Saccharomyces cerevisiae S288C: one gene and its partners. The gene in region 3 interacts genetically with the main gene of each other region. Each region holds a gene or a part of one and is shown on either strand. Other genes may lie near its edges. The genes, in order: YNR061C, SUC2 and YAT1.

Region 1 (3,319 bases), on a different chromosome or scaffold from region 3:
ATAACACACCAATTGCCGATAGAATATGAACCAATCGATCTTCAGCGTTCATGTACTTAATTTAACTACCTGTATTTTCTTATAAAGATAAAATTGGTGTATAATGTAAGGACCAAGAGAAAAAGGAATCCCGCATCCCAAGCAATTTCTAGTGGACTATTTCTTCAAAAAATAACTCAATAAACACCTATATAATGTTCGGAGGTTATACTTTAGTGTTTTAGAATGCAGTACCAAAAGTAATATATTGAATTAATAACTATATGATGTGTAGCTAAGAATTAAATAGTAAACGTCTTCTGAAACCTTTTAAGAGGTAATTATTGGTATTCCAAATTCATATGTGGAGGTAAGGGAGACACAAAATTATCTGGAATGACAGCGTGCTGACACCTATAAGGTTCCGTAACTTCAAATGCCTTCATTACTCAACATAGGAAAAGTGAAAGTGTGTGCCTCTAAAATATACGGAACATCGTCGAACTAAAAAAATCCATTAAGCAAAGTCAGAAACAGCATGCACTACAAGACATTTGGTTCATCATGAAGAATGCTCAATTGAACCATCAATCACTTTCTCTTGTTCGATGTTAGCATTATCCTCACTATCAGTTGAATCCTCAATGCTTTCGGTTTCAGTCCTCGCATCTTCCTGAACTTCAAGATCTAAAAGAGGCTCACTCTCTTCCAGACTGGTCTCCAAGCGGTCCACGGTATCACGTAATGCCTTCACACAAGCCTTCAAAACAGATCTTGTGCTTGACCCATTTTCCTTAGCTTGAGATAGGACTGTGATATAAGAAGCATATGTGGTAGCGAGAAATAGTATGAATAAAACGGCTTCTGGTAAAATATCTATTTTAGCAATCTTACAAGAACCTGAATAATCAAAGTTTATACCCCGTGGCATACTTGAGCAGGACATAGAACCAAATTTTGAAGCTAGAGTTACGAAAGCGGTAAACCACAGGACGGTCTGAACAATTTCCATCACGAATATTAACAGAACAGGCAAAAATCTCACAATCCCAAAATAAACTGAAGATATGATTGAAACAGCTAAGCTCAATCTAAGGATTCGATCCACTTTATAGTTTGTGATTATGGCAAAACTAGCTAACAACAAGTTAGTTACAGATAAGCCAAGTTGGAAATATCTTAGTACGTGGAAAGTAACGGATGTTGTTGTTAACTTTAACATATATGTATTGAGTTATTATTATAGATCTTGACTTGGTAACAAAATATCAAGCTGTAAGCACCGCCTGTATTCTCCTATTTATGGTTGATTATATTTTACTTCTGTTGAACCAAGAAAAAAATAGCAACTCGAAAAGTCGCTTATTCATTCACTTTTTTAATTTTTTTACATATCGCATACGTAATTGGAAACACGCAATTTTAACTTTGGGCAAATACATAAATCATTTTGAGAAGTTGGTTTTTAGTCTCCGAGAGATTATAAACCAACATCCTTAAAAGATAGTATTCATTTCTCACCTGCCAATGCAAGAGCAGATATTATTCAGCAAGCAGTACAGCAAATCGGAAGCGAATTCCAATGACAATTTGCAGAATAAGATTAGAATAATATATTGAGATTAAAGAAAAGGTTATGCGAATTGCCTAACGTCTTTAACTTTGAAGCGGCCAAACTCTAAAAAACCTTGGTTAAAATACAAGCTTTGGCGTCCATGCAAACTGATTACATCATTCAGTATAAAGTGCCATATAAAAGAGGCACACACTTTTCCACAACTGGTTTGAATATAATAGAAGAATAAATCAGAAGGAAACTTTAAATATTAGTAATATTTATTTATGGCCGCTAAAAGATTAGTCCGGATATATCACTATAGAAATGGTAAAGATAATACACTATCATTTCCAAATGTAAAATTTGTTGATAGAACGCCATAAAAAAGAGGCTGACTTTTTGTCGTCCAAGTTCTTCGAAAAAATATACGTCAATGGCACCCGATATATAGCTGGATTTGGACCAGTATATGTCTAAGGAAATCTAACACCTTTTTTTCCTGAGCCAAATAAGCGGTGGAATTGAAACAGCTACCAAAATCATACCAAATCCAACCGCAATTGAAAGCCCCAATCTTGTGCCATAAAGAGCTGCTAATACAATCGGTGCCACCAGTTTACCAATCCCAGAGATTGCTCCAATTGAAGGCATCAACTGGACCTTGAGTTTGGGGTCGATGTACATGGAAAAAAGGGCTGGAATGCTCGAAGCCAAAAAGTTGTACCCTAACAATGTAATCGACATCCCAGCTGAAAAAAATATACCAGAATTTGTGGGTGGCATTGATTTATGCTTCAAGGCTTCGGATGCTCCAATCATAAAAGCTTGTCCCAGCAATGAAACAAACAATGCAAAGATGGACAGAAAAACTTGACCGCTGTACAGCGAATCTTTTTTCTTTACCTCAACGGTCTCACTTCCAGTTGTATCTGACTCTTCTAATCCGCCATCTTTGGCTCTGCCGCAGGAGCACCCGACGTTTATTAACTTTGGAGCGAAATAGCTTCCAGTCACACCAAGTATAGATGCGACCATAAACGCTATGCCTTGAAACTTGGTGTCCCAGTTAACGTGGAGCGTCAGGAATAGTGGCATAAAATAAACTACTTCGCTCATAATAAATGACGATAGGAACATGCTCCATAGTAAAATCAAGCAGGAGATGAGTTTTTTTCTTTCGACTCTAAAAAATTGTTTCAGAGCACTGAAAAGGCTATTTTCCGAATTTGTAACTTTAACCTCAGGATTTTCCAGAACGACAACTAATAAAAGGCATACTGCAAGAATTATGAAACTGGAGGCAAATGTCGGTGCATTGTAAGAGGCAATGCGATACCCTTTAATTTTAAAATCGCAATATCCAAAAAATATGACAATTAATTGTGCCAACGCCATGAAGATACCAGCCGCTGCTCGATAAATTGATAGAAGCTTGAAAACGATACCCCTATCTTGTGCAATTGACATGATGTAACTGAACACTATAGCACCAGAAGCAGATGCTGCACCACATATAATACGCCCACCGAGAAGGGTGTTTAGCGACACTGCACCGCCGCATGAATACAAAAAATTACCCACAAAGGATAAAAAGTAAAGCCCCACTATTACCCATTTAATGGACCCAAGAAAAGCAGCAATATCCCCAATAATGAATGAAACAAAAACTTGAACTGCTGCAGAAATGGCTTGAATTCTGAACAAGAATTTGTCCGGATTGGTTTCTCCGTTCTCTAAATTGTTAGCATACTAGTTCATTGAAATTATCTTAGATTTACATTA
Region 2 (3,759 bases), on a different chromosome or scaffold from region 3:
AAAAGACAATAAGTTTTATAACCTCTATTTTACTTCCCTTACTTGGAACTTGTCAATGTAGAACAAATTATCGACACCAGTGGTCATGTTCACAGATCCTAGAGCGTTACCGGTGGTCATGAAGTAGGTATTTGTAGAAACCACATCTCCATCGTTGAAGTACAATTCCAAGATGTTTTGATCCAGTAGGCCGTACACTTTATAGTAACTTAGGTCGTTCTCAGACTTGAATGGTTGGTTGTTGACAGACATTCTGTTTGTGAAATATGGGTTCTCCTTGACAAACTTGACCTTAGAGTTACCACGGTCCAAAAAGAAGGAAGAAGCACTGACTTCAAAACCCATTCTCAAATATTCTTCAGGATCTTCTAAACCCTTGAACCAAAGTGATAAGTCGGCAAAGACGGATTTGGATATGGTTTGTGTGGTGTTAACAGCGTAAACCAACTCAAACTCTAGGGTACCAGTCGAGTTGCTCAAATCGACATTGTAAGAATTGGCCTTAGTTAGAGTTGTGTTAGTAGCAAAACGAGACCAGGGACCAGCATTACTAATGTTCAATATTGGTTCGGCTTTCAAATTGATCAATTCAGTCTCTGGATTAGCTTGATATTCAGTGTTCAAAGAAAACTTGCGGACCAAAGACATGGATGATCTCCATGGGTTAGTTGGGACAAAGGCACTGTACTCCCAGTTTGAAGCCCAGGCAATACCTAATGCTGAACCGTAGGTTGGGTCAGTGTTGAAGAAAGTTTGCAAGGCATAGTAGTCCTTACCAAAATCTACCACTCTAGATTGATTGTCAAACGCTTCAAAATGAGTACCATTGAAGGATCCAACAAAATATTGGTTGAAGGAACCGCCAGCAGGTGCACCTGGGTTGATAGAAATAAACATGACCCAATAAGATTTGGAAGGATCTTGCTCAGTTGGGACTTCAATCAAACCTGGACATTCGTATTGGTAGCCTAAGAAACCTTCATTGGCAAATGCAGATTCTAGCTTCCAGGACTTCAAGTCATCAGAGGAGTAAATTTCAATTTTGTAGTCTTGTGATTTGGCAGCCGTCATAATCCATTTTTGAGAAGGTTCATACCAGAACACCTTTGGATCTCTGAATTGAGTGGAGTTGGCAGCTAAAACAGGGTTCTTTTGGTATTCAGTAAAAGTGTAACCACCATCAAGAGAATAGCTAATGTATTGCTCTTCACTTTCAGGAGTGTTATAAGTCCAAATCGCAACGCATCTTTGTCTTGGATCAATAGTATCATTGAAAAACCCACTCGTGTTGTTGTAATCAACCACCATGGAGCCAGAGAAAGCACCTGAATCGTTACGCTTGGGAGCGATAGCAATGGGTTGATCTTCCCAATTAGTCAAATCATCGGAAGTAGCATGGCCCCAAAACAATGGCGTACCCCATACGGTGTCATTTGGGTTGTATTGAAAGTACAGATGCCATTTGGCATCTTTTTCATCGTACCACAACCCATTTGGGTCATTCATCCAGCCCTTGTTGGGTGTGAAGTGGACCAAAGGTCTATCGCTAGTTTCGTTTGTCATTGATGCAGATATTTTGGCTGCAAAACCAGCCAAAAGGAAAAGGAAAGCTTGCAAAAGCATCATATACGTTAGTGAAAAGAAAAGCTTTTTGTTTTGCTTGTTTCTCTGAGAGAAAAAAAAAAGTAAGATATATGGTAAAAAAAAAGCACAAGAACAAGAGAATGTTTTGAAGAATAATACATATCTATTTATATGTTTCTTTTCAGGAGGAAGGATTATAGGATCGAAATCCAAAAAAAAAAAGTCGTCAAATCTTTCTTCCAAATGGTTTACTATAGAGCCCTTAGGCAACATTTTTGTCAAACAAAGTCGTTTAAGCATTCCTCGAAAAGAAACGTCTCTATGATGGTAATAGGCAAACATCGGGCGTACCTTAAAAGTCTTAGACATCACATAAAGGGATTTATAATCACATTCCTCGTCAGTTTTTCCAGAAACCTCCATGGAAAAACCCTGGACGTGGGGTCGATTAACGCTACGCGTATTTCTTCGCCCCCGGATAATTTCCTAAACTGGGTTTTTTCTTTTTATTCCTGTTCAGAGTAATAAAAATGCGGGGAATAATGGAAGCCCTCATAATGGATCGAGTTCAACAAAGGCACGCCTTTGGTAGAAGAATACTGTGGGCCTTTCTAACGTAGCATACCGACTGGTAATTTGCTCACAAACTATTCTAAATGACGTACTTTTTTGAGCTTTGCTGGGGGAGCGAGAACTACGCTAGGACAACAACTCCCATACGGTAAATGTCTTAGTATGTCGTGCTTGTACAAACGAAACATGATAAAATGGATACCTTCGACAGCTCACCGTGCCCCTGTCCTTTGTTCATTGGGAAACCTCCTGCCGTAATTCTACATACTATACTCGATACCCGAGATTGTGACGTGTGGATGCTAAGCCCCTATAACCTCAAACTTTTTAGCTTGGAAAGGCACTTAACTCAATTATAGGTTGTTGCGAATTCTGAATTTTTACAGCTACTTCTGTAGGGAATTCAGACCTCCGTACGGTATCTCCCTGTTTACTACAGGGGAAAACTTAGTTTTTTTTTTACTATAGTATATGCAAGGCCCTGAAGCTCCATGATATTTCGTAGATTATTCGGCTTCCTATTCAAGGCAATGTCTAGCCGTTTAATGTGCGACGGCATTAGCAAAGCTTCTTCAGTTAATAACTTTTCTACGTTCTTTAGCGCATTAATAGACTGATCGTCTATTACCATCGTGGAAATGAGGTATAGCACCTAAGAATACAGCGAAGGAGGTCTAACTGCTTCCCAGAAGTCACAGGAAAATAAACTTTTTTTTTTTATTTTCCGCTTTTTTCATAAACTTCTTTCACACTTTCCGCTTTTCCATACTTGGTAAATGCACATAATGCTATTGTAATATACAACCATGATTTCACTTCCCCTGGCGCAACAGTATGTTGTTAGCTATGATACAAAAATTTTTTAAGGCCATTTGAAAGCATCAATTTCTCAGAACACACTTCATCTACTGCAAAAGAAGACTTTCGAAGAAAAGTACAAATTGCGACGAACTACTTTCATAGTAACAAAATGAACAGTGACATTGAAAAGCAGAGAATGTTGAACATAGGCTAATTTTACGTTCTCACAGCCTGGCTAGCACCTAGAAACGACGCATGCTGCCATGTTAGTAGTCAAACAAAATTGAAGTGAGGCTCAAAATAGTTTGAATGAACACAACAAAACATTGGATAAGCTGTCATGCTACATTAGCAATACAAAAACCCGCACCCCGTAGTCACGTTCGCCTTCGCAGCTTTTTAAAAATGGCAAAGAGTCTGACTTATGCTCTGTTGACATTTAAGAGATACAATGAATCGATCCAACAATTATTAGCCATCAGTACTTCTCTTTTGTGAGGTAGGGCGACAAGAAAACGCACAAACTAGAGAAGATATTTATGCATTTTTCGGTATATCAGATAAAAGTTGGTAGTGCTCGAGCTTTTCTTTCTATACCAATAAATGCTGCAAAATATTATAATCTAATTAGTACTGAAGTAACTCTAGCAAAGCACAGGTGACAAAATTTGTGCTGGTGATTGTTGGTACTGCTATCGCCAGAATAGTCGAGATGTTTGCATGTATCGACTGCTATGCGCGTAAGAAATTGGAATTTTGTATGGATAACTATGGCCGACCACTGCACCTAGCAACAGTGAA
Region 3 (3,759 bases):
GTACCATTGGTTCCAGAGGCAGTAGAGCGCATACAAGTGACGGTCCTGGCCGAGCCCCTGGGAGCATTCCCTTGTGATTTGCGAGTGCGCCGTACAGGCGTCGTGCAAGAGCTGAATTTTGGTGGCGTCCGAGGCATCCTGGTCCAGTAGTGACTTGACAAAGAGCTTCGATTGGCCCGTGACGGAGCGGATGGCCTCTGTGCGGCCGTTTTGGAACGCCTTGGTCATGGCAGGCTCGTACACGGTCTCGAAGCGACCGTACAACGCGAAGTATGCGACCTGGAACACCTGCTGCACGAAGGCGTCTGGCGAGCACTTGAACACTGTCTTGATATGGGACGCGCCGTAGTTGGAGAAGTCAAGATTAACAAACTCGTATTGCGAGATCAAGTCCGAGATGCGCGTCTCGGCAAAGTGCAGCGACGATTGCAGGAAATTGTCAGTGCGCCATTCCAGTTTACGAGGGATGGTGATCAAGTTGGCGGAGTGAGCCGCCGAGGCCAACGACGACGACGATGGTTTTCCATCGTCGTCGCTAAAGATGTCGACGACGTTCTTGGTGACACCGCGTGCGAAGCTCAGGATCGAGTCTGTGTAGATGTCTGTGGCGAGCCGCAGCACAGTGTGGCCGTCCACACCGGTGTGTTCGAAGTTGATGCCCGCCTTACCGTTCTTGGTCACGATCAGTTGTAACTTGTCGTACCAGCGGTTGAGACAGGTGCCTGTCTGCACGTTCAATGGCGGCTGGTGTTGGTGCGGGTCGAGATTGATGGTAGAAGTCCCGCACAGCATCGAACGCGTGAGCTCGTCCTGCTGATCGGCGGCAAACGCCACGTCGTCGAGACAGACCACGAACAGCGCGGAGTCGATCAGCTTGAGATTGCGCCAGTTGGTGCAGTCGTCCGCATGGAACAGATAGTCCCTGATGTTGGACCACACCCGGCGCGACTCTGTGGTGAACACGCCAAAGGGCGCGGATCCGCTTCCGGCGGATTCCGCGTCCATGATGATCGAGTAGAGGTTCCACTCCAGTTGTTCTGGGGTGGCGAAGATGGGCTCGTTGCGTGTGTCCAGCACGTCGAACCAGTAGAACTGGCCACGATACATCGCCACCACGTGATGCGACGTGGCGTCTGTTTGCAAGTGGCAAGAGGGCTCGCCGGGACCCGGAGGGATTCTACTGGAGCCGAATAGCCGCTCATACTGGTCCATCGACAGCGGCGTTTTGCCGCGCACAGTGTCTGTGCGGAGTGTGCCGTGGCGAATCTGGCGGATGAACTTGAGAATAGAGGTGGTGAGTCGTGCGGCACGACGAACCTGCACCGTGTGTGCGCCATAGGGGCCCTGTGCCGCCGTCTCTGGTGTGTCTTTGATGGTTGGGTCGTCCTGCAGTTGGAAGTACGGGTTGACGTTGAGAACGACAGTTGCATCATATAGCAAGTACGCGTCATACCAGAACTGCTCGATGTATGAGGACTCTGGGTTGCTTTCCGCGAGCCGTGCGTCGTATTCTAGCAGCCGCTCGTGCAGCGTGTTCAATGCGTCCAGGTTTTCTGCGGAGAGCACAGTGCGGCGCGTACGGCGGTTTTGGCGCTCGTCCTGCAGGGGTTCCACGCGTGCCAGGTAGCGGTTGAGCGTGTCCTGCAGTGGCGGGATGGGTAGTCTCTTTAAGTTTGGCATTGTATACGGAAAGGAGGGGTGGGCGGGTGTGGTTATTGTCGTGTGGTTATTGTCGTGGGTGTGCTTCTATGTTATGTGTGTCTTGTATATATATGCGCGTTCCAGTTGACGCTGATACAGCCCGCCGGGCGGACGGAAAGTCCGCGGGGATGACCGCGGACCGCCGGGCCGATGACTCTAGTGCTGATGCTGATGCTGATGTTGTGCTATATGCTTTTTTTTAGCCGCTGATGACATATAGAGTCCAGATGGGGAGTCCTTTCAATCATGCTTTTCCTTGCCCCTTTACTTTGGACTATGCACTCATGATTGCCATTGTGACTGGAGAGATCGTGACACTGCTGATGGTTTTGTCATTCCGCACGTCCTACGTTTAGAAAGTAACGATGCCAATCTTCATCACGGTAAAAGTAATACGGGGTGGGGTGTTACTGATGAGAATTGGGGGAATTTTGAGATAATTGTTGGGATTCCATTTTTAATAAGGCAATAATATTAGGTACGTAGATATACTAGAAGTTCTTCTCGAGGATTTAGGAATCCATAAAAGGGAATCTGCAATTCTACACAATTCTATAAATATTATTATCATCGTTTTATATGTTGATATTCATTGATCCTATTACATTATCAATCCTTGTATTTCAGCTTCCGTTGAAAACGATGACTATTTCTCATCATTTGCGTCATCTTCTAACACCGTATATGATAATATACTAGTAACGTAAACACTAGTTAGTAGATGATAGTTGATTTTTATTCCAACAGTTACGTAAACCGTTATCAAATAAATACGCTCAGATTCAATTCTGATTAATTTTCATTGGGGCTGATGCTTTCGCTGCAAGTTGTCATAGTATTATTTATTTATTAATACCTTAGATTTTCTTGACAATTAACCAATTTTTAATCATTAAACTTAATAATATTTAATGCTACTGTACTTTTTATTATTATTTATTATTAATTTATTTATTCGTTCATCTTGTATGTAATCGTCCTCCGTTCTTTTCCCTTTACCGCTGGCTTGCGCGCGATGATTTCCACTAAAAGCTTGCTTGGAAATCTCGATCACCGACATACGCCCTGAGAATGCTTATAGGAGCTATTGAGGCGAAAGAAGTGGAGGGAAAGTAATATCCCGAGAACGAAAACGCAAGGTTTATTGTCATGAAAATGCAAATGCACCGTTGACAAAACCAACCACACGATTATCACGACTACTACCATAATAGGTAGGCAATGAACCACTTTGTTCAGCAAATGGGTCCAACACGAATCGACTTTTCGAGGCTTCCTTCGGCCGTTTTCCGGCCAGTTAGTGCTGATTATATATCATACTCTAGTTTATGTTCGCTTTACGTATGGTAGTGTCTCTAAGCTATTCCGTCTTTTTAAGAAGCGCATCGATATTGGGATGCCGCCTTCGCCAGTAATTTTCCTGAGCTTGTCGTTCGATCTCCGCTGCCTTGAGCAAAAAGTTTTGATAATTCAGTCTGGAACTAGGAGAAGCTGACTCGATGGCATCTTCAGGCTTAGCGGTGACCGGAGAATTGCCAATTGACGTGGCTGTTTGCTTCTTGGGGGTTACTCCCTCAACAAGGCGTAGAAAATAACGGTAGCAATCCTCATCGCTGTAAAAGTAATACGGAGTATGCCATTGCCCATGATTAAACAAATATTGGTTCATGTTGTATGTGATGATCCTCCATTCTTTCCCTTCTACCGCCGGTTTACGTGTGATGACATCCACTAAAAGCTCGGTCCTAAAATTTCGACGACTGACTAGCTTTGGATTACCATCACTTAATATTATTAACAAACCTACAAGAGAAGTAAAAGCAAATATTGCAGAATTGAAAACACAAGCTTCGTTGTCATTAAAAAATATAATTAATAAAACCAAAACCCCTATTACCAGGGACAAAATCATGACTGGTGTATAGCGAGCGATTTCATAGATCCAATAACTCAAGTACGAACGGAATATGTCCTTAGGAAGAGCCACATTTTTCTCAATTAAATGTGCACTAGGTTCGTTAAGTGTATCTAACTTGACGTCGGTACTTTCTGGAGGGG

What was found.
Region 1: mutations in YAT1 (region 3) and YNR061C together harm fitness more than expected from each alone (negative genetic interaction), as found in Saccharomyces cerevisiae (one large-scale study listed by BioGRID).
Region 2: mutations in YAT1 (region 3) and SUC2 together harm fitness more than expected from each alone (negative genetic interaction), as found in Saccharomyces cerevisiae (one large-scale study listed by BioGRID).

Annotation. Positions count from the first base shown.
Region 1 is NC_001146.8:742,340-745,658, forward strand, and holds YNR061C (uncharacterized protein), read right to left. Parts: upstream 1,202-3,319; coding exon 542-1,201; downstream 1-541. Other genes in the region: PUL3 (Pul3p), read right to left, coding at 2,021-3,004.
Region 2 is NC_001141.2:35,249-39,007, reverse strand, and holds SUC2 (beta-fructofuranosidase SUC2), read right to left. Parts: upstream 1,624-3,759; coding exon 25-1,623; downstream 1-24. Other genes in the region: YIL163C (uncharacterized protein), read left to right, coding at 1,756-2,109.
Region 3 is NC_001133.9:188,114-191,872, reverse strand, and holds the start of YAT1 (carnitine O-acetyltransferase YAT1), read right to left. Parts: upstream 1,681-3,759; coding exon 1-1,680. Other genes in the region: DUP240 family protein MST28, read right to left, coding at 3,062-3,759. UniProt on the Saccharomyces cerevisiae protein: Involved in the transfer of acetyl-CoA into mitochondria. May also be involved in the metabolism of acetate and of ethanol.